Linked DNA regions of Diceros bicornis minor. The protein of the gene in region 2 interacts with the protein of the main gene of each other region in a biochemical or structural test. Links are inferred from orthologs where the notes say so. Each region holds a gene or a part of one and is shown on either strand. Other genes may lie near its edges. The genes, in order: ZNRF1, UBE2N, RBX1 and RNF135.

Region 1 (7,505 bases), on a different chromosome or scaffold from region 2:
AAGGAAAGGCATTCCAGGCCCAGGGAACAGGGCCTGTGAGGGTCATAGCCTGTGGAAGTGTAGGAACCGAGAGAAGACAAATGTGACTGCTGTGTATCCTCACAGGATTTAGGGAACAACCTTTACAGGCTGGCTGCAAGGATTACCATGTCTATTTTAAAAATAACAAAGATGAGGCTCAAGAGAGGTGATGTGTCTTGCCCAAGGTCACAGCTCCTCAGAGAAAGAGCTGGGACCCCAGTATTCTACCTCCTGACACAACATCAGTTCACTCCCTCTGAGGAAGCCTCGCACACACTGAACTCCCCCATCTATTTCACCGACAACTGTTTTCTGTGCCCAGGAAGAGTTCCAAAAGCACCCTGAAAACACAAGCAACAGCACCACATCAACTTCCAGGCATCTAGTCAATTGTGCACCGAAATCCTTACCCTTCTACTCTTAGGACACAAGAACAAAAACTGCTCGGGTCTTACTCAGAGGCTTCAAAGTGGAAACAAGCTTCTCTTCTTACAGCAATGAACAAGAGAGGAAAGGGGTGTCCTGGAAGGGAGATCCCATGGCCTGTTCCAGAAGGTGAGATAGAAGAGTGGAAATAATGAAGGCTCATCTCAAATGAACTGCACCAGAAAAAATAACTTTAGTTGAATAAAACAACAAATCCCTAAAGCAGAGATTCTCAATCAGGGTGGTATCCCCACCCCTGACAAGAGCATTTGGAAATTTGTGGGGGCATTTAGTGGGCAGGGCCAGGTACACTCAATGTCTTGCAAAAGGACAGGATGGCCCTATAAAGAATGTATTCCCCCAATAGTAACACCAGCCCCCACGCCCTTTCCTGTATTCCCATGGGTTTCACAGCTGAAGAGTCTGAAATTTGGGAATCCAGTTGTAAGCTCATAACTCCAGCATGGAACCTGGTGGTGAAATAAGGAAAATGAAGTTTCTGGTAAGAGACAGACAAGAAATTTCAGCAAAAAGGGAACTCCTTCCCCAGACAAGCATCTATAAGATTACATTTGTTTTGCAGCACACAAAATTCTATGGTTTTAGAGAAGCTTCTTATAGTGCTTTTTGGTTTAAAATCAGATACTAATGACAGTTCTTTTAAAAACTTAACCACAGTCATCTCACAAATACAACTGACTCTTTCTGGATCATATTTTATCAGAAAGATCATTAATTTCAAGATGTCTAAAGCTGATCAAATGCCTAAAAGTGCCAAAGGCAGTCATGCCTTGCATCTACTTCAGGTCAGAGAAGCTCCAACGATATCCAGAGGTCTGTTCAGGGCTTAAAATACCATCCTAGCTATTCAAAAGCTACTTTCAAGTGTTACCCTAAATTAGTCACTATTTTCCCCCAAAAATATTCCACAAATTAAAGTTTATAGTTTGACAAAAGTTTGAAAAAAAATGCAGACTCTTTCCAGATAAAAAAGAGATCCAAGAAGTCTACTCTACTTCACAATAGCTAGAACAGTGATCCGATAGATAAATCTTCCATAAAGCAATCTTTCTTCTACACAATATCTAAATTTTCTCGACTTTCCCAAAGGAGTCTGAATACATTAACTTCTTCACTCCAACTTGCCAATTAGCAAATAGCGGCCCCACACTCCTTTTGACCAGTTTTCTAGAAGCCTAAGCTGCACGTTAGCTGAGCAGACAAACCTGTTTTCGTCCAGCAGCTCTTGCCAGTGCCTTTTCCACCCTGCCAGTCAGAGCCTGGGAAATCCTCCTCCAGCTTTTCACTGGCCTGTCACCAGAAGTTCACAAAATGAATTCATCCAGATTCTCTGAATCCTCTTCTTCCCTTCTTCCCCTATCTTGTGCCAACAGCCAGGCAATAAAATCCCACCTCTCCATTACAAAAAGATGCAGATTACAGGAAGACCAAGCACTTAGCAAGGAAAGGAAGAAAAAAGATGGAGGGATGTGACAGTCATGGAGCCAAGCCTACCGCATGCAGCACGGGCGACCAGAGCCCTGGTCCTGCAAAGCCTCCAGGGGAGGCTCCCTGGCTGGGCCCTCCATTCAGCACGCCACACCTGTCTATGCCAGCAGCCTGCTCCATTTTAAACAATTCAAACAGATCTCCAGCAGGGTGGCAAAATTGGGCATCCCCCTCTCCCAGCAAGAGTGAGAGCCCTAATCCGAACACCACATGCCCCCAATTTTATTTCTTTTCACACTCTTTATTTGGGAGACCGGCTTGGTCAGATGGGATCCCTCTCTCTCCGTTAACGGCGAGGTAGGCACAATGCTGCAGTGACAGAATGGAAGCACTGAGGCCGACTTGCTGTAAACCAGACAAGACCTCTTTGAGGATGCTGATGCCAATAAATGGGATTTCAATAGGCAGGTTTCACTCTGCCCATCCACAAGTGAACCAACGCTTGAAGTCCTAAAATGCCCGGCTCCGCAGCCTCGCAGAATGCCATGCCTCTTTTCTAGAGGATAGGTATCCCATTCATCCCTTGGCTTTCGGAACCAAGGGGAAGACAGACAGATCCAGGTCGTGCACTCCACATCCAAACCTTCGCACGCGCGCGAAGGTTTGGGGAGCCCCGGCGCGCCCTCCCTTGCACTCCACCCTCCGAGGCCTCCACGATCCGCGGACTCACCACTGTGCGAGCTGAACCACCTGGGTGCGATGTGCAGAGGTAGAGCATCCGCCAGCGAGGCTCGGGAGCCCAGGTACAGCATCCCGTCTCTATGGTGACCGCCGCCCGTCTCCTGGTAACCATTGCCATGGGCATAGGTGGAGTCGGACGCGGACCCTCCGCCGCCGGGCGCCCTCTCCGAGTCGCCGGTCCCCCGGGAGGCGGGGGTGTAGAGGCCAAAGGGCACCCCCCCGGCCGTGCTGGGGTCCATGCCCATGCCTGCCACTGAGCTGACCGAGCGGCTGCGCAGCCCCATGGCCCCGCCGCCCGCCCGGTAGTGCCCAAAGTGGGGAGCCCCTCCCGGCGGGGGCACGGCGCTGTCATCGGTGGAGACCCCCGGGAAGGGGCCCCGGGAGCGGGCCGCCGTGCTCTGCTTGCCCCCCATGCTCGGCCGGGCCCCGGTGGGGCGGGAACCTGGAGGCGGAGACCCTCCCCCACTTCTCAGTAGCGAGGGGAGGGTTGGGCGAGCATAAAGGGGGAGGGAGTCAAAAAGGAGACTGGGAGGAAAAAAGGGAAAAAAAAACAAAAAGAAAAAAGAAAAGAAAACCCGCGGAGCGGAAGAGGCAGGCGGGCGGGGATCCCAAACTAAGAATTTAAAACGATCCAAGCCAAACGCATGTTTCGCCTCAAGGTCCAAAGAGGCGCAGTCCGGCGCGGGCTCGGCGCGCCACAGGCCGCCCCCGGGCTCCCGAAAGCCGGGGGAGCCGCAGGGAAGGAGGGAGGGAGGCGGCGGGCGAGCGGGCGGGCGGGCGCAGGGAGGCGCCAGAGGAGGCCGCCCGCCCGACAGGAGGAGGCGGAGGACGGCTGGGGGCGCCGGGCGCGTCCCCCGCCTCAGGACGCCGCGACCATGGACGGCGGACCGGACCCCTCCAGGCTTCGGGCGGGCTGCGGCGCTGGGCGGCCAGGCGGAGCTCGGGAAGCCGCGGTCGCGTCCCGTCGCCCTCTCGCTCCAGCCACCGCCGACCCCGCCAGCCGCGCCGCCCCGCTAGGTCCCGGGCTGTGCTCGCCGGCGCTCCTCGCCGCCGTGGAGACAATGGAGGGCGGCAGAGCGCAGGCGCGGCCCGCGCCCCTTCCCCCTCCCCCTCCCCCCCCGCCGGGTTAACCCTTCGCGGCCCCTGCGGTGCCCGGCCCCTGACGCCCCGGAGGTCCCCACCCACCCGGTCCCGACCGACCAGTGACCTGAGTGACTGGAGCCACGGGGTGTCGGGAACGGAACAAGGCGTCTTTTCAAAGCAAGCACTCGTTAAGTCCCCGAAAGTGGCTAATTATTCAGGGGGAACCACCTATGGGGGAGGGGTGGCGATGGTTCAAGGGGGTGGGAAGGAAACCGTAGGAAGAATGAAAATTACTCAAGACGCCTACCTGGCTCTGTGGGTCACTGGTCAAGCTCCCCTCCCGGCACAAATTTACCCCCACAGCACCCTCTGGTGGACGTGCGGTCCGTTCTTTGGGAGGTTCCCCATCCAGGGATCCCGAAGATCAGGAAGCTTAGCATTTGGGAGATTTTTGGCTGTTTGCGGGTAAACAGCGCCCTGGGGCACTTGCGACTGCGAATTTTGCTGACAGTAATTCAGAACTTCCTATTTTGGGGTTAAGTAAACGGGTAGATTCCTTAGCTAAAATGTGATCCTTGAAGTCATTAGGTGTACGATAAAGAGTGAAAAGATAGAGATGTGAAAATGGAATAATGTAGCTAGAACTAGTGATTTTAGGAACTCCCTAAGTCCAAGGCGAGTCCCCTGTTTTGTTTACCTTTTATTCGGGCATGTACCACAGGGCCTGGGACATAGTGGGTACTTAATAAATATTTGTTGACCAAGTCTGCATTTTGCAATATGTCTCTCTCACAAATTCACATTCATTCATTCAACAACTATTTTTCAAGTGCTGAGGGCTCGATATGAGCATCACCTAGTCCCTGGCCTGACTTCCTTGCTCTAAATGTCCCCAGATACTTCCAAATCAAGGAGCCAAAACAGGGTGTAAAAGAATATTAAGAGAAAACCAAAAAACAGGAGGGCTGGTCTGTCACAGGTATTGATTGTCCCAGTGTGACCCGCTTGGAAAGAAACAGGAGGAAGGCTATTTGCAAGCATGGGGTGCTTGGGAGTGAACTAAAGGCCCTGCAGAAGGAAGTCAAGAGTTCAGTATGAGAAATGCAGGTAGGAAAAAACAAAATGTTCCAATACCCAAGAAACTATCTTTAAGTGCCTAAATGAAGAATTTGTGCACACCTGAGATCTAAATGAGTGATCTGAAGAAAAACAAGAAAGCTTACATTTAACCCAATTTCCTCCCTGAAGAGAGACCATGGTAATAGAAGAGGGGTGGTTCAGTACTGTGCAGAAAAAAGAATGCTAGATCCCTCGACAGAGCTCTATGGGGGAGATAAATACACAATAGTATTGTAACCGTCTATCTAGCTTTTGATTTACCTATTCATTCAACACTTTTTTAGTGTGTTGAACAAAATATGAATGTCTCATAAGTGTCAGGCACTTATGCACTAGGTTCTGGGATAGAGTGGTGAGCAAGACAGATGGAGTCCTTGTTCTCATGGAAATTCAAAAGAAGCACTTCACACCCACTAAGATGGCTCTAATCAAAAAGAACAATAACAAGTGTTGGTGAGATGTGCAAAAATTGGAACCCTCATACCTTGCTGGTGGGAGTGTAGAATGGTACAGCTACTTTAGAAAACAGTCTGGCAGTTCCTCAAAGAGATTAAATATAGAGTTATATGACCCAGCAATTCCACTTCTAGGTATATTTCCAAAAGAAATGAAAACATATGTCTGCAGAAAACCTTGTACATGAATGTTCATAGCAGCATTATTCAAAATAGCTAAAAAGTGGAAACAACCCAAGTATCCATCAACTGATGAAAAGATAAAGCAAATGTGGTATATCCATACAATGGACTATTGCTCAGCCATAAAAAGAAATAAAGTGCTGTTATGTACCATAACATGGATGATCCTTGAAAACATTATACTAAGAAGCCAATCACAAAAGACCACATATTGTATGATTCCACTTATGTGAAATGTCCAGAATAGGCAAATCCATTGAGTCGGAAAAATTAATGGTTGCCAGGGCCTGGAGGAAGGGGAAAATAGAGAATGACTGTTAACTGGTTTCTTTTTGGAGTGATGAAAATGTTCTGGAATTAGGTAATAGTGATGGTTGCACGACCTTGTGAATATACTAAAAACCACTGAATTATACACTTAAAAGCGTGAATTTTATGGTATGGGAATTACAGTGTAATACAGTGCAATTTTTTGGTATGTGACTCTATATATATGAAGTATTGAAGCAGGCAGTGACAATACAGTGTGATAGATAAGTCTAGAACAGTGCCTGGCATGTAGTTGGCACTCAATAAATATTTTTCAAATGAATGAATGAATAACTAAGTCCTATGAGAGTGAAAGAGCATGGTGCTGAGGGAAGGAGACAGGCACAAACACAGTGATTCTAAGCCAAGACCTAAAAGGTGGGTGGGAGATTAGCCAGGGAATGGGGTGGGGGGAGAACTGTGTTTCAGGAAGAGAAGAATGTTCCAAGCAAAGGGAACAGCATGTTCAAAGGCCCAGAGAACATGGCATCTTCAAAGGACTGAAAGATGCAGTAAAGCTGCAATGAGAGGAGCCAAAGATGAAGCTGGTCCTCAGGGACAGACAAGAGGGTCCTGTCAGCCATGGTAGGGAGCATGGACCGTGTCTATATTTTTCTGTTCTTTTCTCTTCTTTTCTTTTTTTTGGTGAGGAAGATTAGCCCTGAGCTAACATACGTTGCCAATCCTCCTCTTCTTGCTGAGGAAGATGGGCCCCGGGCTAACATCCCTACCCATCTTTCTCTACTTTATATGTGGGACGCCGCCTCAGCATGGCTTGATAAGCAGTGTGTAGGTCTGGCCTGGGATCCGAACCTGCGAAGCGCAGGCCGCCAAAGCGGAGCGCACAAACTTCACCACTATGCCACCGGGCCGACCCCTGTATTTTTCTTAGTGTATATATTCATAAAGATACTGGATGGAAACATGAAATGACATAATGTTGTCCCCTGGGGGGTGGGCAGTAGGAACTGGAGAGTTCGGTGACGGGATGGATGAGAAATATTTCATTTCGTTATATATCTTTTTGTATTTTAGTGTTTGAGCCATGTAAATTTATAGAGACCAACTGATAGAGAGGTAGAGGTAAATATAAAGTATATCCCACATGCACAGTAAAAAGTCACACAGCTAGTAGGAGCAGAGCTGGACTTCTAAGCTTTACAGTGAAGGTGCTCATCAAGGAATCTTTGGATGACAATTTCATTTTCTCTGTATGCTTTCCAATGGGGTGAAAAAGATTAGATCTGCTTAACAGCTATATTCCTTTTTGTTTATTAATAATTTGCCCTTAAAGTTTATATTCCAGACTACTGGTTATCATAAGCCGGTCTCTCTCACATTGGGCACCACTGAATAGCTGAGGGCCTGAACTGCGAAGGTGAAGCCTCTATTCTCTGCAATGTCATGACACTAAGCTTAGATGCCCTGTGGGACCCTGCATGGCAGCCTTTCTCAGGCGATGCCCTTGTTATCTCCTTGTGCTTTTATTCAAACGACAATTTTGCCTCTGAAATGAAAATATTAAAATACAGAACGAGGAAAGTTCTTCATTCAGTAGCTTGATTCTACACTTGACATCTTAGAGAGGGTGACTCATGGCTAGCAACAGGCATCCGCGGAGACCTGCAGCCTCAGATCAGTTTCATTTTGTCATTTGTTGTATCAGGAGTCCAGTATGTTTTCCTTCAAGTTTCTCCTGTGGGTTCTTGGTTTAAAGTT
Region 2 (7,783 bases):
AGAACTGACCAATACGACAAAGCAAGCAACGCAATAAACAGGAGGAAAGCCCCATGACTGGAACAAGCTTAGCCTTCCACTGTTCAGGGTACAGCAAAGCAACAGTGTGGCTGCAGTGCAGCAACCCAAGCACAGAAGTGCAGGAGATGATGGTAGAGGTCAGCAGATCCCGGATAGATGTAAGCCTTTGTAGCTAAGGGGAAAAGGCCAAGATTTTATTCTAAGTGTTCTGAAAACCTTTGTAGAGTTCAGAGCAGGGGAGTAACATGATCTATATTTTAAAAAGTAACACTAGCTGCTGCTTAAAAGGAGACTAATACAGTAGGCCAGGCAACAAATGATGGAACTCAACAGTGGTTTCAGAGAGAGAGGGAAATGTGTCAGATTCAGCATATACTTCGAAAGTAGAGCCTAGAGAATTTGCTACTGGACTGGAAATAAAAATCTGAGTGGGACAGCAACGGGGTGAATTCAAAAAAATCACCTTATATTTGAATAGTCATTTACAATTGTCAAGGTACTTTTACATACATTATGTCATTTCATAATAACAAGAGGCAGGAGAAGGTCACTCTGAGTTAACATCCAAGTTCTGCCTCTTGCCAGCTTCAAGACCCTAGGAAAGTTGTTTGAATGTGTTTCCAGACTGTAAATGTATTGTCTACTTCACAAGATTACTGCAGGTATCAAGTGGCTCAAGAACTCTGCAAATGTAAATAGTAACCATTTTGAGGTGGCCAGCATCATGTTAATAGTTGTCCATTGATGGTATGGTGTATTCCTATCATTCTGGACAGTAGAGCTACCATACCACCACCACCACAACTATATTCCACATAGGACCCTGTAATAGTGGTTGACAGAGAAGACCCAACCTTTTTTTAAAAATTCTGACACAAAAAATAAACATTTTCACTGATTATGGAAAAACCTACATAATATAACAGGGGCACTAGAAAAAACAGTATAATCTTTTAATCCTTCCTAGGGATTGGAGAAAACAGTTCTATAAATGGTATTACAGTAAAACCACCTAACTTTTACAAGATAAAACCCAAATCAAGGCATCTTTCATTAGAGAGATGCTATCAACAAAATACTGTAAAATTAAGATTATATATGAGTTATCACTGTCTTGGTTTAAATAGTAAGATGCAAATGCCTAGTGTAAACTAAACTATTGTGTGCCAAATGAACTGAATTATAAGAACAACTTATTGCCTTAATTTCTGTAAGTTTATAAAAACAAGATCCCACAGAATTTATTTTTCTATTCAAGGCTTTCATATTACTGCAGAATATCTCCAAAATCAAGCAAAAATGGAAAAATTCATCTTAAATCTTTAGTTCATTATGTATTTTGGAGAATTATCTTGAATGTCAATTTGTGTTATGTACTTAGTCAATCACCTGACTAGAAGTCAATAAAAATTAAGAGAATATCTGGCATACAGCTCTATCCTCCACCCCTCAGTTTCAACTGGGGCCTCGATAAACATGACCATTAGGGCCACGTAACTGCATTATAACTAAAACCACATTTTAAGGATCTTCCAATGCATACAGCAATTAAACTGCCTTGGCCAGAGTCCGAGATAAATCCACTAATATAACAAATTTGGCACTATGAAGAACCACATTAGACTCCAGCACCCAATGACAATCTGTTCTACTTCTCTAATTTCTAAGAATATCCATCTTACAAATGGTCTTATTTCTCTAAATCAAGCACCTTAAGGCAGAGACACCTCCATCTCACACATATTTACCTACAACTGCACGAAACAATACACAATACATCAGCCTTCAACAGGTTTTCACTGAGTATGCACCTCCCCCCAAACTTTAGAAGAACAAACTAGATTAAATATACGCTCAACACATTATATCCAGCAAAATGATGCTGCAATTTAGTCACTTGAACTCGCATATTGAGGGACACAGAGTTCAACTGATTTCCTTCACTAAAATTGACAAAAAACTTCAAAGCTTTGTTTTTGAGTATTGCAAGAAACATTTCACATCGGAGGACTCGATATTATGTAAAGAATTCACAAAATAAAGATGTCACATTTTTCATGATTCTATATGTAATGGTTAAAGCGCACAAAATCGAGAGGCAAAAGATTTCACAGGGTCTCCCATACCTGCGCCCTCACCCCCACCCCCGGTCTTGTGTTAAACTATTTGCTCTGAACAGGAGCTCTGAACCAGTCTACCAACCAGAGTAAAATCACTTCGCGGAGATAACGAGCGGAAACGTATCTAAGGAAACGAGCTCGCGGAAGCGAGGGCAGCGGGGCGCGGAGCCCCCACATCCCCGGACCCGCATGTGTCGACGGCGGCAGGACGCGCGGCCCTCCCGGAGCCGCCTCCCGGGGCACAGGGCCCCGCCCGGCCTCACTCGCCCGGTTCATTCATTCTGAACGCGGGGCTGCCGCATCCCCGCGCTCCCGCTCGGGCCGAGAGGGGGCTCCGGGGCCGAGGGGCCGTGCCGGGCCACAACCCCCACCCCGAGTCGGGGCCCCGCCACGATTCCCGCGCGCCCGCGGCCTCCGCCCGGGGGTGGTCTGAGAGGCCGCCGAGGCCCGCGCCGGCCCGCGCCCAAGACCGGAGCCCCGCAACCCCGGCCCCACCCTCCGCCAGAGCGCAGGCCAGGCCTTCCCTGCTCGCGGGGCAGCCGCCTGGAAGCCCCGGGTCCCCGCCGCCGGGCTGCCCCACCGCGGCCGGAAGTCTCCCCGGCGCCCCCTCCCCAGCGCCCGACTTCCCTCGCCGCCGCGGCCAGACCCTCTCCGCGCTGCCTCGGGCCTCCCAGCGCGGGCCGCGGGCCGCAGGCAGCGAGGGGCTGCGCCGCCCGGTCTGCCGAGAGCGCACGAGCAGAGCGGGCAGCCGGAGGCCGGCCTGGGCGGTTACCTTGATGATCCTGCGGGGCAGCCCGGCCATCTTGTCAGATCCCGAGTTCGGCCTCTGGTCTTGTCTCCGCTCCGCTCGCCTCACGCACGAGTGGAAGTCCCGGGCTCCACTTCCGGGGGACGTTGCCGCGCCCGCCGCCGCCGCCGCCGCCGCCCAGGCCCCTCGGGAAATGTAGTCCCGGCTCGGGCGGGCTTCCCTCGGACCTGGCCCCCTCCCCCGCGCTCCCCGCCCCAGCCCCGGCCCGAGGGGGCGGAAGTGACGCGCCGCGGCGGGGCAGGGACTTGGGGGAGGTGGCGCGGGGCTCCGCCGGTCTTGGCCGAGCGGGCCGCGCGATGGTGGGACTGGGCTGCCGGCGCCCCTCAGACTTCTTATCCACGGCCACGCCCGCGCCGGTGGGCGACGTAACAGAGGCCCGGCCGCCGACGTAGCCCATTCCTTCGTTAGTGCGATCGTTCATTCATTCAACGTTCCTGCATTGCGCGCGGTCGGAGCTGGTGCTGCAGGGAACGACTGCGGTCAAGTTGATCCGCTGGCTCCTGACTCAAAGAGAGGAGAAGACCGAAACTCGGTAGCAAAGCTCCTGTGGGTCTCGAAAGTTAGCCAGGGAAAACCCTAGCCAGAGAGTTTTGATCTTCAAATTTCGGAAAAATCAAGCCTCTGACACACCCCTTAGGCCCGGGAAAGGCTAAAAGAAAAGAGCTTGGAGAGTTGGGGGCGGGGAAGAAGAATGGCTTCTGGACTCAGTGGTTGAAACGGCAGAGTCCTTAGCTGGAGGAATGACCAAGGAGAGGATTGGAGAGCCCAGAGTAATCCGGGAAAGAGGGATAACCCACAGAGCGCGGGGCCCTAAAGGAAGATTAGAGTGGGGATGCCCGAAAATAGGATTTGGGGAAGCATTTCGTGACATCCTGGTGATTGATTGCTTGCTGTGTGATGGGCTCACTGCAGTTACTATTTTACTTCATCTTCACAGCAATCTTAAGAAGGTGTTGCCTCCGCCTTTACAAATGAGGCTCAGAGACGCTAACTTGTTTCAAGGTTATGCAGGAGGTGGAGCTGTTTTGTCCTCGGGCAGGTCTCCCAAAACATGGACCCCTTAACTACTTAAGCACAGTGTTTCCAAACACAGTAGCACAGACAGTAGATGGTGAATGAAGATGTGCCAGATGCTGTATTAGGGGATGAGAATACAAAGAGGCTGACCCTGCTTTCCAGGAACTCAGAGTCCAGTGGAGAAGAGAGACAAGTAAACAATTACAACCCAATGTGTTAAGGGCTATAATAGAGGCTCCTCCAAGGTGCTATTTGAGCACAGGGAGGCATTAATTGCTTGAGAAGTCAGAGAAGGCTTCCCAAAGAAGTTGAGGCCTAAAACATGGGTAAGAGTCTAAGTGACCTGGTAGGGAAGAGCACGCCAGGCATAGAAAATAGCCTGTGAAATGTCATTAAGCTATAAGAAAAAAAAAAAAAGAGCATTAAAGAAATGGAGAATATGAATGCAAGAAACTTAATAAGAATAATAAAAGATAACGTGCTGGGCACCGTGCTAAATGGTGACATGGATTATCTCATTTAATTATAAAGCATATAAGGTAGGCTTTCTTATTACCAGTGTTTTTTAGATGTGAAACACAGCCTCAGAGGTAATAATGGGAACTTGAAATAACCAGAAGTCCTAAATGAGTGGTTCTGTGATTAAAAGAATCCGAGAAAGTAAATGACATTGGACAAGGATACTTTCAGAATATTTTAGAGAAGACCCAGGAGAATTCACCTTATTAGGAAGAAAGGCAGAGTGAATATTGAATTAGAAGGGGACTATGCCAGTTGTCTATTGCCTAACAAACCAGCTCAAACTTAGTGCTTAAAAGGACAGCAATCATTTATTTAGTTCTTGAATCTGCAGTCTGGGCAGGGCTTGGCAGAGAAGGCACATCACTGCTCCATGCTGCGGCAGCCTGGGCAGCTTGACCGGGACCAGATCCATTTGTGAGATGACTCACATAGCTGGCAAGTTGGTGCTGGCTGTTAGTCCCCCTCAAGGTGGGCCTCTCCCTGGGACAGCTTGGGCTTCCTCACTGTATGGTGGCTGGGTTTCAAGAGTGAGTGTTCTAGCAAGTGCAAGTGGCAGCTGAATCCACTTTTTTGCCCCAGCCTTGGAAGTCACATAGGATTACTCCCGCCATAATGTATTGGTCAACTAGTCACAAAAGCCCACCCAAGATATGGACTCTACCTCTTGAAAGAGGAGTGACAAGATTCTAGAAAGTAGCAGAGTATGTGTGGTAGAAGCTGTGGGTGTGACCAACTTTGGAAAACACAAAGTGCCACAGGTATGACGTTTGTCACAATATGCTTAGGAACCACCTGCCTTGGCATCACCGGCAGTGCTGGCTGAAATAAGCATTCCTGGAGCCCTTCCCCCAGAGATTCTAAGTCTCCAGGTCAATGCTGAGGTCTGGGACTCTGCATTTAAACATCATGGGTAATTTTGATAGATCCTAAAATTTGAGAACAAAAGATTTTGAATAAACAAGAACAAAAATGTATAAACAAAAAACGTCACGTGCCCTCTTTTGGCTATTCTGTATCAGAATGGATGGTGAGTATCATGCAGATTACGAGTGAGGGCCCTGGAGTCCCACCTAGATTTGAAAACTTGCAGTTTGCTTAACTTGTTTGTCCTTCATTTTCTTCACCTATAAAATGAACCTACTTCATGTGATTGTTGGGAAGTTTCAATGATACATTTATATATAAAGTACTTAGAACACTATGTACCACTTAGCAAGGGCTATTATTTTTGAACCAGGTATAGTTTTCCTAGGAAACCAGATTTTTAAAACTTGACAGTAAAACCTTGTTTGGCAGAGATTTTTTTTTTATCAGACTTTTTTTGTTTATTGCAGTAACATTGGTTTATAACATTGTATAAATTTCAGGTGTACATCATTATACTTCTATTTCTGCATAGATTACATCATGTTCACCACCCAAATACTAATTACAACCCATCACCACACACATGTGCCTAATTATCCCTTTCGCCCTCCTCCCTTCCCCCTTCCCCTCTGGTAACCACCAACCCAATCGACAGAGATTGTTTTGATGGCATGAAATTCTCTTAGAGTATTAACCCTTAAAATATATTTTTTCATGTCTCTTCTAGTTGTTTTTCCTGTTCTTGTCCCCCTTGAGAACAGCTCACACTATACTCATCTGGAAAATAAAATCTAAACTTCTGATTCATCTAAGTCCTGCAGAACAGGAAATATTCTAGAAGGACAGGTTGCCACAGGGCTGACATGAGGTTTATTCTCAAGTTAGAAAACTGGTTAAGAATCCTACTTACCATATCTATAAAATATGGATAAAATAAGGATATCTACAAAACTAATTGAATCGATTCCTTCAGGGGAGGGGTCTTGGGCAGCTGGAGAACAGAGGTAAAAGGAGGACTTTTTCTTCTACTCTTGTATCTTACAGATTTTTGAACTACTTGAATGTGTTACCTATTAAAAACATAAAACAAGAAGCCAATTCACTAATTTCAACAGTCTAATCTAAGGGGTATTCAAAGCTCTTTAAACACTGATCAGGCATGATATTATAAACTCAAACCTCAGCAAAAAGATGCTGGTCTATGGCATTGAATAAATGGTTACAGTGACCAGATAGATTCACTAAGCTGAACAGTGCTAGGCAGAACTCTTAGCTAATTACGCTTTTTTGGCTCTATGTCAGGTCTTGCTCTCTTCCATGTTTTTTTCCAGTCTCTCCTTCTGGGACTCAAACCACGAGTGCCTTTGCATTATGATATAGGGAAAGAGCAAGCAATAATGCTGTGTTGGAGGAATTAGAGGAATCCTGTTCTATGCAAATCTCTTACTCCCCAGAAAACTATTTCACTGCCTCCTGTTCCTTCCACACACCCCACCCCCAAACATTCTAGGTTTGCTAATTTGGTCCTATAATGGGAGATGCCTAAGTACTATTTACCTTGCAGGTAATATCGGAGGACATTTATACCTGAGCTCCTCAGAGTGAGGGATCTCCTCCATCTTGGTCAATACTGTATCCTTGTGGCCTAATACAGGGTCTGCTACATGAGAGGTCTCAAAAAATATTTGTGAGAGGAGTGAATCGATGACCGCAGGCTGCAAAAAAACTCCTGTTTGAGAATGGCTGACATAGATTCATGATCCATAAGTGAATGCTTACAGAAAGCATAGGATGTTTATGTTCATCCCTAAACTCTTCAACTTGACTTCCTGGAGGGCAACAGAGCTTTTCTACAAACTGTCTCATGTTTGCAGAGACAAAATAGAATAGATCAGTTTGGAAAATGGTAGGTCAGTCACCTTTAATAGAGGCCCTGTTTCAAGTCATAAGCAATACTCATTTTTCTGCAATACCCTTATGGTTTCTTGCACGTAGAAACACTCTTCCGTGGGTGGTCAGGACAGAAGTATCTGTGAGAAGAGGGTTCATGAACACTGACTCAGGGAGGAAGTGGGTGGGGGAGGAAGAAAAGGCTGCACACTGATTTAAAAAAAGAAAGAAAAAAACGCCTGCTGCCTCATGTTCATGACTTCCATGTAAATGGCTGAGCATTTATAAACTGTTAACCAACACAAGGCCAGCCTGTAAGGAGGCTCTGAGTGGGGTCTTCCAGGGTCATAGGAGCTCTATCTCCAGGAGGAAGGCCTTGGGAAAGATGAAACCCAGGAGAATTAGAGCAATAGGCTTCCTTTTGTTTAGTGCTTCATGCTTTACAAAGCATTCTTGAATGTCATCTCACCCACGGAGAGCCTGTAAGTGTATGGACCACTGGAGCGATTCTGTAGAGCCCATCATTGATTCCACGATG
Region 3 (7,798 bases), about 19 Mb from region 2:
TCTTTATACTATGTTATGAGACTCTGGGTCTTATTTAAACCTTCTGTTTTAACCTTCTGGCTTTTTTTTGATACTGCTCCAGCAGGAGAGGGTGAAGGTAGAAGTCCAGGTTCCCCACTGGGTCCCCACTAACACCCAAGAGTGGGGATGCTCCGTGTTACTGCTGGGCAGGGGTGGGAGTTCTAGCTTCCCGCATGGTCTCTACTGACACTGTAGTGGGGATGGCCTCATTCTTGATGGATAATGATTGGTGAAAGCCTTGACTTTCCACTAGGTCTCCTCCAATACCATCCCAGCAGGGAGGGGAAGGGGTGCCTCATTACTGCTCGGTGGGAGTGGAGGTCCAGACCTCCTCGTGGTCCTCTCTTACACCACAGGGGTAGAGCAGCACCTTATCAGCCAGAAGGGGTAAAAGTTCCAACTCCCTAATTAGCCTGCACACCCTGGCGCAGGTGTCGGGGCACTTGGTTACAGACTTGCGAGCTGTACAAAACAGACTCCCCAACAGCTTTGCTGACATGGGTGGGAGTGGGCCACATTTTCTTCTGTATTGTTTGGATGGAGTAGGGCAGTTATTGTCTACAAGTTTTCCATTTGCTAGAGAAAGCAGCCTTTTGTTGGGTCTTTTTTTTTTTTTTTTTTTTGGTCTGCACTTATTGGCATTTCTGGGTTGCCACCTTCTTCAGCTCCAAGTCTGGGATGTATGAAGTAAAAAGAAAACACAGAGAACTCACTACCATGTCATTCCTCAAGTCCTGAGATCCCTAACTGGTCTGCCTTCTTCTCTCCACCTTTCAGAGTCTTCTTTTTTTTTTTTCAATATACCCTGTCTAGGGATTTCAGTCATCCTCAGAGGGAATAATAGGGAAAAGTATGTCTACTCCATCTTCCCAGAAGTGGAAGTCTTGCCTAGAACTTTTTAAAAGACATATCTGACCATGTGACTCACTGGTTAGAATCCTTCAATGGCTTCCCATCACTAAGGATAAAGACCCAAACCCTTTGCATGGCTCTACTGAACAGTCTTGCAAGACCTGGCCCCTACCAGTGGTAAATGTTTAACAACCAACTCTAGGGGTAGGAGGAGCCCTGATCTGTAGTGTTTGCTAATCTCCATGGTGTAAATACTACTATTATGGCCAATTTGAAGCTACCAACATGATGTCGCTAAATACAGAATTGGGAGGAGATGCTAACAATTGACTCTTGCACATCATTGCAGACTCATTTATACCACTCTCTCTCTCTTTATACTCCAGCCATTCCAGGCTTCTTTACGAGTGCACTATGCATTCTCCAGCTTCCAGCCTTTTCCGCACTCTGTTGGCTCTACCTGGAATGCCTTCTTTTTCCACATCCCTCATTGTGTGCAAGTGCTTGATTTGTAGCTTTAACAGCCAGGTTGCATCAGCTTACAAGAGCAATTGTTAAACTTTCAGGAATTTTGCAATCTGGCTATTAAAGCTACAAATCAAGACTTTATTTTTAGAGGTGGTTTTTAAACATTTACCAGCATACCACTGCATCCATTCGTCTGGTTCATCCTTCAATCTCAAACCAGTTCCTCTAAGAGGACTTCCTCCCGCTCCCCAGACTTGCTTTCTGCTTCTAAGCACCCTGTACTTCCCCTTTCCTAAAATTCACTGGGATTATCATTAATTGACTATTGCCTCTCTCCTACTACCCCATAAGTTCAGTGATGAAAGAGACCTTTTGGAAGTACTTAAAATATCAATTGCCTTTTTTTTCTAGACCAGCATGGTGTAGTTGACACAGCAGGTTCTGTAGATATTTTAGAAATATTTGTTGAATGAATGGATCAATAAATGAAAGGAACAGAACTAAAGTAAAATTACCACCTATTGCATTGTAAATGGAATGAAATTATGCAGGATAGGAATCAGTATGGAGTCCACAAAAAGTTTTCTTAGGTTTAGCAGCAGAACCTAGCATACAGAATTCCATGGCCAATTGCCACAGTAAGGCAAATCTCCAAAAGAGAGATAAGCACATGAGGTTTTCAAGGCTTAATGGAACCGCCCCTACGATCTCCCCTCTGTAGCTCGGTGCAAAGGAAACAACTCGCAAATTTTGCTGCTTCATGTATCCCTACAATCCCTTCTTCACAAAGCTTAAAAATTTTTATAAACTTAGATTATGTCACTGTTAGTCCCTTCCCCTACTTTCTCTCTCCAATGCCTTCTCACAACATCTGCAATAAAATCCCTACCTGATCTGGCCCCTGCCTACCTGTCTGACATCTCTTACCACAAATCCCTTGCTCAACAAGCTTCCGATTTATTCATTCAACACATACCGAGCACCTACAATGTACCAGGCACTGTTCCAGTTTTTGTTACCAGTAAACAAAACAATCAAAAATCTCCTCTCTTGGTGAGCACACAGAAAAAACAATAACTCTAATAAATGAAAAAATGTGTTAGAAGGTACCTGTACCATTAAAAAAAGAAGAGGGGCCAGCCCTGTGGCATAGTGGTTAAGTTTGGCATGCTCCGCTTTGGTGGCACAGGTTTGCAGATTCAGTTCCCAGGCAAGGACCTACACCACTTGTCAGCCATACTGTGGCAGATACCCACATAAAAATAGAGGAAGATTGGCACAGATGTTAGCTCAGGGCTTATCTTCCTTCAGCCAAAAAACAGAAGAAGAAGATAAGCACAGAACAATGAATGTAGCAGATCACGCAGGGCTTTTAGGCCCTCATAAGGACTTCAGCTGAACTGTCACTCCTCATAGAGGCCTTACCTAATCACCCAATTGAATGTTGCTTCCATCTCCCCTCAATCTCATGACCTTGTTTTGTCTTCTTCATAGCACTTGATATCCGAGATTTTCTGATGTATTTATTGACTCCGGTATTATTTCCCTACTAGGAGTTTGACTCCTTCATCACTGTGTCTCTCCTATTTATAACAGGACCTGGTACACTGAATGAATAAATATGCCCTCAGTACCTTAATTTACTATGGGTTTCTAGTATTCCTGGAGGAACACAATAAATTAGATGACAGAAATCTTAACATGGAATCATTAATTTAACAAAACTTGGGCTAAGAAAAACTTTGTAGGGTTTCTATAATGCTTGAAGGTCTCACACAATTTTTCTCTTTCCGAGTCCAGTTAAAGCTGTGGTGGTGGTTTCACGGATCTGTTGTTCTTGTTTATGACTAAGATGAGGAAAGAAATGGAAGTTCTTCCAGTTTACCAATGAAGTCACACTCCATTACTCTCGAATTCTAAGAGAAAATGTGAGATTTTTAGGTAAGAGTGATCTAGCTGACTCATATCTCTGCAAGGTGAGAGACGCAAAAGGGGGGCCTGGTCTAGAAATGGGAGTGAGGTAAAGTATAGGTGCTTTGCCTGCGAAGGAATGACCAGTAAGACTAAATGGCAGAATGCCTCACACAAATTCAAGAAGTACAGCGACTGTAGATGTGACTTCAGCACAAGGAGCAGGAAGACGACCGAAATTAGGAAGAAAGGACCCCACAGTTAGATGACCAACTGAGGAACGAGGAACGTGTGCTCAACGGGGAATGTGCGGGAAGTTGAAATCCTGTACCTTAACCAAAGCCCATTCTAGGACGGATTGGTATTTCGCGAGACCTAGAGACGGCATCTCCCAGGCTCCTAAGCATCCTCCACCTACTTCAGGTGGGCAGGTGAAGGCAGGGCTGGAGAATATCTGCTCAGCTTGGCCCTGGGGAGGACATTCGGGGAGTTCCCGTCTCCCCGTCGGATCCTGAGCATTCCCCGAATTGGAATCAGGAAACCAAACGGTGCCCGGGCCCCGGCCTCAAGCCTCCCAGGGAGGCTGCACCTCGGACCTGGCTCGGAAGAGGGTCAGGAACTGCGAAAGGCCACTGTCGGGTCTCGGGTTTCGGCCGCAGGAGGCGGGCGTCCACCCTCGCCCCTTCCGCGGCGGAAGCCCCGCTGGCACGGGAGAGCGCGGCAGCCGGGAAGGCGAGGCGGGGCCGGGGCGGCAGGTCTCGGCCGAGGCGGAGGAAGCAGCCGCCGCCCCAGCTGAGAGAGTGTGGCCGGGGGCTTCCCCGGGGAGGGCGACGAGAGCGAGTCCTTTCGAACGTTTCCACTTGGCTCGCTCACGTCGCCTCGGCCCCGCCCGGCCCCGCCCCGCCCCAGCCGCCGCCGCCGCCTCCGCAGCCGACGGGGGCGGGGGGACCTGCGCCAGCGCCTTTAAGAGGCGTGGCCACACGCTCCGCCCCACCTGCCCCTCGCGCGCCTGTAAGGGGTGAGGTGCGGGAGGAGGCGCCGGGGCGGGAGGGGGAGCGAGGCGTGCGCTGGTGCGCAGGCGCAGTGGCCGGACGACAGACCGTGTGTTTCCAAAATGGCGGCAGCGATGGATGTGGATACCCCGAGCGGCACCAACAGCGGCGCGGGCAAGAAGCGCTTTGAAGTGAAAAAGGTTGGGTCTCGCCAGCGCCTTCCTCAGGGGACCTAGAGAGGCGCGGATCTGGCTGGCAGGCCCTAGGATGACCGAGGCGCAGAGGAAAGGGCTTCATTTCAGGGCGTTCCTGAGACCGGGTACCACGAAAGGAAGCCGGGGGGCGGGTCTTAGCGTTGATCGGCGTGACTGGGGCCCACTGTCATTGGCAGCATTGGTTTCGTTCGGAGGCTGAGGGGCCAATCACGGACGTGCTTATTGAGATACGCGGGGTTGCGGCTTGGCTGCGGGAGCCAAGCGCCTGAGCTGTCACTGGAGTGCTGGAAGGGTGGGGAAGGAGAGGGTGGGGTGGGTGGAAGGGGGAGTCGGAGCGGTGCGGTGGGTGGAGGATGGGGCAGTGCGGCGAAAGCCGGGAACCTGAGGTCCTACCGCATTGGAGGTCTCGGAGGAGCCGGGCTGGCGACCTCCTTGCCCCGCCCCTCTCCGAAGCTTGGGGTCCCTCTTGACTCTGAGGGACCCCGACCCGGTCCTCACCTAATCGAGGCCTCCATTAGCCACCTCCCTGGCCTTCATCCCCGCCGAGTTAGTGTCTCGAGTGTAACTCTTGGCTCTTCTGAGAGGTCTGTTGGTTTGCCACACAGCCGCCCCAATCCTGTGGTCATATCCAGAATCTCCCTATCCAAAAAAAAAAAACCATGGTGGAATTTGTTAAAAAGAAAATGCGAGCCCAAATCTTGTGTCATTTAAGGAGGGTTGTGTACTAGTTTTGAACGACCTGGTGGAAGTGGGAAAGCAGAAATGTGGAACGTGTCTTTTTGCATGAAACGCCTTATGGTGGTTTGCCAACACTTTGGGAGAAAAGTGCCGATTCCTACCTAAGATAAAGTGAATCTGTTCAAAATGAAGACTCTGAAATAGGGACGATGTTATTCCTGGAACATCTGGATGAATACTGACAATATTCCCCCTCCTAGTGCTTTTTGGCTTTTCATTGTGGGCACTGCATGCTCAGTTACAGCCAGCAGCCATATTGAAGAATAAAAGAAGTAGGATTTTTTTCCTCGAAGTTGAAGCTGTCGGGTGAAACGTGCTGAAGAAGTTACTAGACATTGAGAATTGGGATTGAAAGAGATGAAGGTTTGGGAGGTGGCATCAAATTAGTGGATGGAAAAGAAGTTTGGGAACATTTATAATTGCAGAAGCCAGAAGGTTGAATTACTTAAATACCACTTTTTAGATAAACTCCTAATGGAATTATTTGAACTAAATATAAGAGTCTGAGCATGTAAAAGTTGAGAACAGTAGTTTATTTGATGGTAGGAACTAAACAAAATTCTAGTGAATTCTAGAGTTTGTTGAGAAGTAATCTTTTAAGATTGAAGCCATGACCTTGTTCTCTGCACTGACAATGGGTAATTCGTTATCCAGCTTATCCCACGATTACCCATTTTATGATCCAATCATCATCTTAGTTCGTTCTGTTCCTAGCTTTCACCTCCCCACTCATGCTTCCAAAGCTGCCTTGAAGAACAGATATTTATTTATGCAGAAATTGAGCTCTTCTGCAGCTGCCTGGGGAACCTGCACAGTAATTCAAGTTTGTGCTTATTAAACCTAAAACAGGCACTTACAAATTATGCTTACGTTGATATGGCTGACTAAATTATTTTAAGCTGTAGGAAAAAATAAAATTAAAAGATGACTCATTAATTTCTGTGTTTATATACTCAACTGTTTGGAGAATAAATGAGCATATGTGTAGCCTACTTTTGCCCTCGGATATAATAAATAAGAGTAATGTAGTATCCCCAGGCTCTTTTGTTTGGTGGTCCTTGTGGCCAAAGAGATGATAATTGCAGCTGCAGCATGAAATCCTAGAGTGTGAGTGTGTGTGTGTGTTACAAGGAGAGTAGAGTGCATTGTTCCCCCTTTTTCTCTTTGCAGTGGAATGCAGTAGCCCTCTGGGCCTGGGATATTGTGGTTGATAACTGTGCCATCTGCAGGAACCACATTATGGATCTTTGTAAGTAATTGGAGGAGGATGGGAGGAAGTTGAGAAGGTTACAGAGATTGTGGCTATCCTGATGTGACCAATTTTCTTCTTCACAAGGGCTCTTCTGCATGTAGTCCATTGGTATGTTTGAAATAGAGTAGTTTTTATGATGTCCTGGAGGCATACCCATCTCTCAAATCTACTCCATCTAAAGATGGCAAGGCCACATTTAGAGTGAATTATGGACACAGAGGCACTGTTGGTTATTCCTCTGTATTTCCCATCTTATACCCAGACTCAAAGGCAGAAATAGAGAAAGAAAGAAAATAAACTTTGAGCTAAAATATTCTATCTAGAGCTAGTTTTTGCTGGGTAAGATTTATAAAGAAAAGCCTAAGAAGGAAGGATTTTCAGTGTTAGCCCCAGACAGAGTTAAGAGGACATCACTGCCAACATCTAAATAGGCAATTAACTGCACTAAAGAAGTTTCATGTAAATCTCCACATATTCCATTACACATAGCAGGTTTGATGATAGCTGTTGATGGACTGACTGAGTATCCTTGTAGTAATAGGGGCAAGAATGTTGATCACACCAGGAACAGTTGAGGTTACTTTTTCATCCAGGTACTAAAATGGTTTGTTATTGAGATCAGAAATGGGGCAAAGAAATTTCAACTTTCTAGAATGAAATGATAGGCACTTAGTTCCTAAATCACTTGCCTCCCTCTCCAGCTTCATCTTGAGCCACTCTCCTGCTCACTCTGGTAGTTTCTCTGGCTTTCTTTCCATTCCCCAAGTGTGCATGCTCTTCTTTAGAGCCTTTACATATCCTATTCCCTCTGCCTGGAATATTCTCTGCCTCTTTTCCCCATTACCTTTGTCTAACCCAACACTGTCCAATCTAAATGTGAGCCACACATGCAAGCACATACATAATCTAAAATTTTCTCATACCCACATTAATAAAGTGAAAAGAAACAGATGAGGGGCCAGCCCCATGGCTTAGTGGTTAAGTGCAGGCGCTCCGCTACTGGTGGCCTGGGTTTGAATCCCGGGCGTGCACCGACGCACTGCTTCTCCGGCCATGCTGAGGCCGCGTCCCACATACAGCAACTAGAAGGATGTGCAGCTATGACATACAACTATCTACTGGGGCTTTGGGGAAAAAGAGGAGGAGGATTGGCAATAGATGTTAGCTCAGAGCCGGTCTTCCTCAGCAAAAAAGAGAAGGATTAGCAGGGATGTTAGCTCAGGGCTGATCTTCCTCACAGAAAAATAAGAGATGATTTGTATTTTATTTATCCTGCTGTATCCAAAGTATTTTCACTTCAACATGTCATTAATATTTTAAAGTGAAATATTTTACTTTCTTTTGTTCCC
Region 4 (7,466 bases), on a different chromosome or scaffold from region 2:
AAACCACGAAGAGAGGAATAAGGAGATGGCTGACATATTGTCAAAACCAGTTAAAACCAGGTGAAGGCAACATGGTAGCCTGACTTGACCTGACATAGACCCCACAGCTCATTACAGGCTCATTGTAATACATTACCGTGCTACATAACACCCCCCCCAGCGCCATGACAGTCCACAATTGCCACAGCAACCGCAGCATATGACTAAATAAGGAAAGAAAAGAGGTGGCACCCTTGTTCCCCCGAAAAGCCTGCCCTGTTCCCTGAATATGATGAATACTCCCCCCCTTCATTATCTCGACCCCTTATAACCGCTGCTGCTTACTCGCCCCAAGAGCTGAGAAGTTGAGTTGTGAACTTAGTTCCCACTTCTCTATTCTTTGGCCATCAAATAAAAGCTTGTGCCGTTGACTGTTCAGCTTTGGTTTTGTTTCAAATCTGCGACCCTGAACAGAAAAGAACCCTCCAAGGAGGGGACGGATTGTGGGTACGAGGCCCACACCTGTGGGTCCCTCCGCGGAGCTCCTCTGAAGTGGGTTGGAGTCCCACCAGAGTGAGGTCAATTTGGTAACACAAAGACAATCATTTTAATTTAAAAGGCTTTGGAAAGTATATTCAGTCACTACAGTATAATCTATATTAACAAAACATTTTAAGGACCTGAGCGATAATGCTGTATTTATAATCAAAAAGAAGAGAACATGCTTTATTCATAACGGCAAAAAAATGGAAGCAATCAATATGTCCATCACCAGGTGAATGGATAAACTGTGGTATAACTATGCAATGGAATATTATTCAGCAATAAAAAAAGAAATGAGCTATCAAGTCACAAACCCTAATTTTGCTTACTGAAAGGAGCCAGTCTGGAAAGGCTAGATATTGTATGATTCCAACTATATGACATTCCGGAAAAGGCAAAACTATAGAGATAGTATAAAGATGAGTGGTTGCCAGGGGTTGGGATGGGGTACAAACAGGTGGAGAACAGGGGATTTTCAGGACAGTATAACTGAATGACACTGTAATTGTAGACACATGACCTCATGCATTCGTCAAAACCCACAGAACTGTACAACACAAAGAGTGAACCCTAATGTAAACTATGGATTTTAGTTAATAATAATGTATAAATATTGGTTTATCAATTGTAACAAATGTACCACACTAATGCAAAATGTTAATAATAGGGGAAACTGTGAGGGATATATGGGGACTTTCTGTCCTATCTGCTCAGCATTCTGTAAACTTACAACTGCTCTAAAAAATAAAGTCTATTAACTAATTAAAAAAAAAAACACGACATAAACTACCTACACAAGGTGACCTCAACTCTTCAAAAAGACCGCAGAGAACAGCAAAAGGGTAGAGCGGGAAGCTCCCCTACCCTACCCCTAGCCCCCCATAATAAAACATCGCAAAACAAGCAGAAACTGACAGAACAAACTTTGTCAGGACTCTGGAAAACACCAAATCAAAAAAGAGCAACCTGGCAGTAGGAAAGCTTTGTGGTGTTTTTACCTGCCCCCGCCCCACTCCCTCCCTGGCTAAGTAACAGTCTTGAAGATTCCCAGCGTGGAACCCTGGTCCTGGTTGCAGAAGGAGCAGAGCCCCACATTCACAAATTGTTGTGTATGTCTGTTCTAACCTGGCTGGGGCTGCCTGAAGGAATGACACAGGGTGCTCATCTTTTTCTACCTAACTCAGAGCTCGGGCCAGAAAGGTGGTGGGCATTGCTCGGAACGCTGCAACTGAATTAAACTTGCCTATGTCTAGAGCTAAAGATTATGGTGGAAATGTACGATAGGGCACGTAGGTTCCAGGAGCAAAAGCTGGGGAAAATTGAAACCCTCCTACTTTGTTGATGGGAATGTAAAATGGTGTAGCTGCTGTGGAATACAGTTTGGCTGTTCCTCAATAAGTTAAATAGAGAATTACCTTAGGACCCAGCAATTCCACTCTTAGGTATTGTCAAAATAATTGAAAATAGGGACTCAGATACTTGTAACCAATGTTCACTGCAACATTACTCACAATAACCAAAAGGTGGAAACAATTAAAATATCCACCAAGGTATGAATTTTTAAAAAAAGTGGTATATACATACAAGGGAATATTATTCAGCCGCAAAAAGGAATGAAGTTCGGATACATGCTACAACACAAATGAACCTTGTAAACATCATGGCAAGTGAAAGAAGCCAGACCCAAAGGGATAAATATTGCATGATTCCACTTATATGAAATATCTAGGCAAATTCATAGAGACAGAAACTCAATTAGAGGGACTGGAGGGAGGAGGAATGAGAAGTTATTGCTTAATGGGTACAGAGTTTCTGTTTGTAGTGATGAAAAAGTTTTGGAAATAGATAGTGGTGATGGGTGCACAACACTGTGAATACAACTAACGCTACTGAATTGCACACTTAAAAATCGTTAGAATAGCAAATTGCACCACAATAAAAAAATTTTCATAGAGACAGACTTCGTAAAGACTGGAAAGAAATGGAAATACGCCAAGGTGTACAGCGGCTAGGTTGATAGGATTTTAGGAGATTTGGATTTTTTTTTTTCCTGCTGCTTCATACTTTTCTGAACTTTCCAAAGAGCGCGTTCTACTTTTAGACGGGGAAAAAGTAACGTAAGAGTAGAAAAGGAAAGGGAAAGGAGGAAGAGCGATGGGGCAACAGGGTGCAGGCGGCGCGGGCAGCTTGGAGGAGAGAGGGGAGCTGCGGGTCCCGCCTCCCTACCGGCAGCGGCGCGGCGGGGCGCGGGGGCCCCGGCGCTGGGCCGGGGGCCGGGGCGGGAGCTGGGCCGGGGGCCGGGCCGGGGCCGGCCTCCAGCTCGCGCGCGGCCTGGCTGTACTTGTCGGCCAGGTCCTGCAGCAGCGTGTTCTTCCGCAGCTGCAGCTGCTGCGCGCCGCCCTCGCGGCAGGTGGGGCAGGACCAGCGGCGCCCCGCGGCCCCTGCGCCCCACAGGTCCTTCAGGCAGCTGCGGCAGAAGGTGTGGCCGCAGGGCAGCGTGACGGGCCAAGCGAGCAGCCCATGACAGATGATGCAGCCCAGGTCGTCCTCGGCTAGCCACACGGGGATGGCCCGGCCGGTGTCCAGGCCCGCCATGGTGACCAGTCCGCCGCCGGGGCGCGGAAGTCGCGGCCACGCCAGGCACCGCCCGTCCGCCCGCCCGCTGCTACGTCTCCTCTGGCTCCTCCCTCGCTCTTCCTCTCCGCCCGCTCCTTCGCTGTCTCCTCCCCTCTTCACTTCGGTCCGCCGTTGTTCCGTTTCTGCAGTCTTGCTGAAAGCTGACTTAGAGCCTCCACCGCCCAGCCCGCGGCGCCCTGGGGGCAGAGCTGGCTGCTAGTCACAGCCTCCTCTGCTGGGAAATCAGCTCGCCCCAAGCGCTAGGAACCTGATGATGTCCCAAAGATCCCTTGGTTTAACGCCCCCCGCCCCATTAAAATACAACCCCGACAACTCTTGGAAGAAGAAAAAAGAGGATTCAAGAACTCTTTTATGAGAATGCGTCCACTAGGTGTCATCCAGCCCCTCCAACTAGCAAGGGATTAAAGAATTTCGAGGGCCGGCCCCGTGGCTTAGCGGTTAAGCGCGCGTGCTCCGCTACTAGCGGCCCGGGTTCGGATCCCGATCCTGGGCGCCCACGGACGCAACGCTTCTCCGGCCATGCTGAGGCCGCGTCCCACATACAGCAACTAGAAGGATGTGCAACTATGACATGCAACTATCTGCTGGGGCTTTGGGGGATAAAAGGAGGAGGATTGGCAATAGATGTTAGCTCAGACCGCGTCTTCCTCAGCAAAAAAAAAAAAAGAGAGAGAGGAGGATTAGCATGGATGTTAGCTCAGGGCTGATCTTCCTCACACACACAAAAAAAGAATTTGGAGCGCACATAACTGGAAGCTGGTTAAAAACACCGATGTTGGGGCTCCACTCCTGGAGAGTCTGATTTTCTGGGGTAGAGCACGGCACAGGTATTTTAAAAAATCTCCCCCGGATGATTCTAACCCGCAGCCAAAGTTGAGTGACCCCTAGACTTTTACAATCCGTGTTACAGTGCAGAATTGTGCCTCTGTCTCCTTACTGCTCCCTGCTGACTGAAAGCACATTACCCAACAAGCATCGGAACAAAAATGCTAGAAAGTCTGTTTTCTTGAGGTAGCACTCCTGGCCCTGGTTGGACTTGTTCTCTTCCTCCTCTCCTCTTATTCCAGTCCTAAGCGTATTACAACCAGAAAACATATGAACTAGAACAGCATCAAATCCTCCCCAAAGACCCAAAGAGACAAACTTCCAGGCTTACATAGCAATAACTGAGTGGCAGAGACCAGAACCTGTCTCTCTCTGGTCTGTTGAATTGAACTAACAATGTCTTATATTTTATTTTACTCCATCTTGCCTGGGCTCAAAGTAGGTACCAGATAATACAAATTTGTGGCTATTTCCACTACTGGAAATGACAGGTAGTAGTCATTAGTGCTGCTCATCCAAGTTTCCAGCTCTTTTCCTTTCTAGGCACCTGGTAGGACTGGCACTTCTCTGACCAACTTGAAACACACAGAAGTAATAGTTGTTAACTTCCCACCAGCTTAAAAAGCTGGTAAGTCATTGTACCCCTTTCTGCTAGCTGCCGTGACTATAGAGATGAAGCCATCAACTGGTGGCCTGGGTCTCTGTGTCGCTAAGATGAGCAGACCTCCTGCCGACCCATACTAGGACATGTAGCAAAGGAGAAAAATAAACTTGAGATATGTTAAGTTTACTGAGACTTAGTGGGTGCTTGTAGCTACAGCATAACCCAGCATATTCTTTTTTTTTTTTGTGAGGAAGATCAGCCCTGAGCTAACATCCATGCTAATCCTCCTCTTTTTTTGCTGAGGAAGACGGGCTCTGAGCTAACATCTATTGCCAATCCTCCTCCTCTTTTTCCCCAAGGCCCCAGTAGACAGTTGTATGTCACAGTTGCACATCCTTCTAGTTGCTGTATGTGGGACGCGGCCTCAGCATGGCGGGAGAAGCGGTGCGTGGGTGCGCGCCCGGGACCGAACCTGGCTGCCAGCAGCGGAGAGCGCGCACTTAACCGCTACGCCACGGGCCAGCCCCCTAGCGTATTCTGACTGATATCTTACCTGGATTTTGTTCCAGAGTCTCCTCATTTGGAGTAAACTCATAGCTTCTCTGGACCTCTCTTCTGAAAAATAGGCATGATATCAAATGCACATGCTCAAATCTTCCATCTTAAAAAATAAAGTCTCCTTTGATATAGGCCTCCCTCTAGCTATCTCTCCTTCTGTCTTCCACTGCACACCCAAGTTTCTTGGAAGAGTAGATTAACCAGTGGTCTTCAAACTTTTTTTTCTTGGACAGCTCCTAAAAGTTTTATTCAAAAACATGCAGTGATTACAAGAAAGGGGGGAGGGATGGCAGTAGTCAGCCCTAGCTGTAAAAATTTGTGAACAAGTTCTTCATTTACATTGGAAATTTTATCATTCTTTCATCTTCTTAAACTTGTATTTCCATTCTACTTTCTCCACAAAACTATAATCTAAGATAATATATTTTATGCATGACAGTCTTTTATCACTTTGTAATCACCAGATTAAGATGTTAAGATACAGTGCTCTCACTGTGATGGCCTGGGTTCATTCGCCAGTCAGGGAACCAGGCCACCCATCTGTCAATTTTCATACTGTGGTGGCTGCATGTTGCTGTGATGCTGAAACCTATGCCACCAGTATTTCAAATACCAGCAGGGTCACCCATGGTGGACAGGTTTCAGCAGCTGAGACAGACTAGGAAGAAGGAATTGGCTACCCACTTCCAAAAAAATTGGCCATGAAAACCCTATAAATAGCAGCAGAACTTTGGCTGATAGAGTGCCGGAAGGTGAGAAAATGGCGGGCAGGAGAAAGTGAGAAAAAGACTGGACAGGGTTCCACTTTGCTGTACACAGGGTTGCTGGAGTTGAAATTGACTTGATGGCACTAACAACAACAAAATCACTTTTATCACTTTGTAATAATTTCCTGCAACAACAAAAAATATATATATATTGAATTTTTAAATCTTTTTTACTTCCTATGACAAAAAGGCTCTTGTTAATTTTTTTATTCTGTATTGAATTATCATTATAATTATTATTAGCAGTCGATAAAAACAAAAATATATTGTAAATTTATGTAAATAATTGTTAATCAAAAAGTAAAAATTTTATTAGAATTGCAGCTCTTAATGAGATGGATGGGCTGGGTTTTTTAAAAAATGAATTTATCTGTGGATGAACATTACTTTTTTGCTTTTTTTTTTTTTTTTTGGTGAGGAATATTAGCCCTGAGCTAACATCTGATGCCAATCCTCCTCTTTTTTTCACTGAGGAAGATTGTTCCTGTGCTAATGTCCGTGCCCATCTTCCTCTACTTTATATGGGACACCGCCACAGCATGGCTTGACAAGCAGTGCATCGGTGCGCATCTGGAATCTGAACTTGCGAACCCCAGGCTGCCTAAGCGGAACTTGTGCTCCTAACTGCTACGCCACCAGGCCAGCCCCTCTGCTGGCTTTATTTAGACATAATTGACGTAAAATATTGTGTATGTTTAAGGTGTACAACGTGATGATTTGACACACCCATATATTGCAAAAATGATTACCACAGTAAGGTTAGTTAACACTTCCATCACCTCACATAATTCCATTTGTGTGTGTGTGTGGTAAGAACTAAGATATACTAAGATATCCTCTCTTAGCAACTGTCAAGCATACAATAAAGTACTGTTAACTATAGTCACCATGTTGTACATTAGATCCCCAGAACTTATTCATCTTATAACTGTAAGTTTGTACCCTTCAACCGACATGTCCCCATTTCCCCCACCCGGCAGCCCCTGGCAACCACCTTTCTACTCTCTGTTTCTGAGTAGGCTTTTTTAGATTCCGCATGTAAATGAGATCAGACTCAAAAGTCTTTCTCTGTCTGACTTATTTCACTTAGCATAATGCCCTCAAGGTCCGTCCATGTTGTCACAAAAGGCAGGATTTCCTTCCTTTTTATGGCTAAATAATATTCCATTTTATATACACCACATTTTCTCTATCCATTCATCTGTGGGTGGACACTTAGGTTGTTTCCATGTCTTGCCTATTGGGAACAATGCTGCAGTGAACATGGAGTAGAGATATCTCTTTGAGATAGTGATTTCAGAAATATACCCAGAGTGGGATTGCTGGATCATATGGTAGTTCTATTTTGTGTGTGTGTGTGTGTGTATGTGTGTGTGTGTGTGTGTGAGGAAGATTAGCACTGAGCTAACATCTGTTGCCAATCCTCCTCTTGTTTTGCTGAGGAAAATTCTCCCTTTTTATATGTGGGACGCCCACACAGCATGGCTTGATAAGTGGTGAGTAGGTCTGTGCCCAGGATCCGAACCCGTGAGCCCCGGACTGCTGAAGTGGAG

The links.
Region 1: the proteins of UBE2N (region 2) and ZNRF1 form a complex in vitro, tested with the Homo sapiens proteins (3 studies listed by BioGRID, with this or other methods). The link is inferred for Diceros bicornis minor from reciprocal best matches to the Homo sapiens genes UBE2N and ZNRF1.
Region 3: the proteins of UBE2N (region 2) and RBX1 form a complex in vitro, tested with the Homo sapiens proteins (5 studies listed by BioGRID). The link is inferred for Diceros bicornis minor from reciprocal best matches to the Homo sapiens genes UBE2N and RBX1.
Region 4: the proteins of UBE2N (region 2) and RNF135 form a complex in vitro, tested with the Homo sapiens proteins (4 studies listed by BioGRID). The link is inferred for Diceros bicornis minor from reciprocal best matches to the Homo sapiens genes UBE2N and RNF135.

The regions. Positions count from the first base shown.
Region 1 is NC_080771.1:25,547,325-25,554,829, reverse strand, and holds the start of ZNRF1 (E3 ubiquitin-protein ligase ZNRF1), read right to left. Parts: upstream 3,452-7,505; 5' UTR 3,051-3,451; coding exon 2,627-3,050; intron 1-2,626. UniProt on the Homo sapiens protein: E3 ubiquitin-protein ligase that plays a role in different processes including cell differentiation, receptor recycling or regulation of inflammation. Mediates the ubiquitination of AKT1 and GLUL, thereby playing a role in neuron cells differentiation.
Region 2 is NC_080764.1:28,470,147-28,477,929, reverse strand, and holds the start of UBE2N (ubiquitin-conjugating enzyme E2 N), read right to left. Parts: upstream 3,347-7,783; 5' UTR 2,944-3,346; coding exon 2,914-2,943; intron 1-2,913. UniProt on the Homo sapiens protein: The UBE2V1-UBE2N and UBE2V2-UBE2N heterodimers catalyze the synthesis of non-canonical 'Lys-63'-linked polyubiquitin chains. This type of polyubiquitination does not lead to protein degradation by the proteasome.
Region 3 is NC_080764.1:9,389,457-9,397,254, reverse strand, and holds the start of RBX1 (E3 ubiquitin-protein ligase RBX1), read left to right. Parts: upstream 1-4,349; 5' UTR 4,350-4,366; coding exon 4,367-4,444; intron 4,445-6,367; coding exon 6,368-6,446; intron 6,447-7,798. UniProt on the Homo sapiens protein: E3 ubiquitin ligase component of multiple cullin-RING-based E3 ubiquitin-protein ligase (CRLs) complexes which mediate the ubiquitination and subsequent proteasomal degradation of target proteins, including proteins involved in cell cycle progression, signal transduction, transcription and transcription-coupled nucleotide excision repair.
Region 4 is NC_080757.1:21,203,237-21,210,702, reverse strand, and holds the start of RNF135 (E3 ubiquitin-protein ligase RNF135), read right to left. Parts: upstream 3,132-7,466; 5' UTR 3,118-3,131; coding exon 2,749-3,117; intron 1-2,748.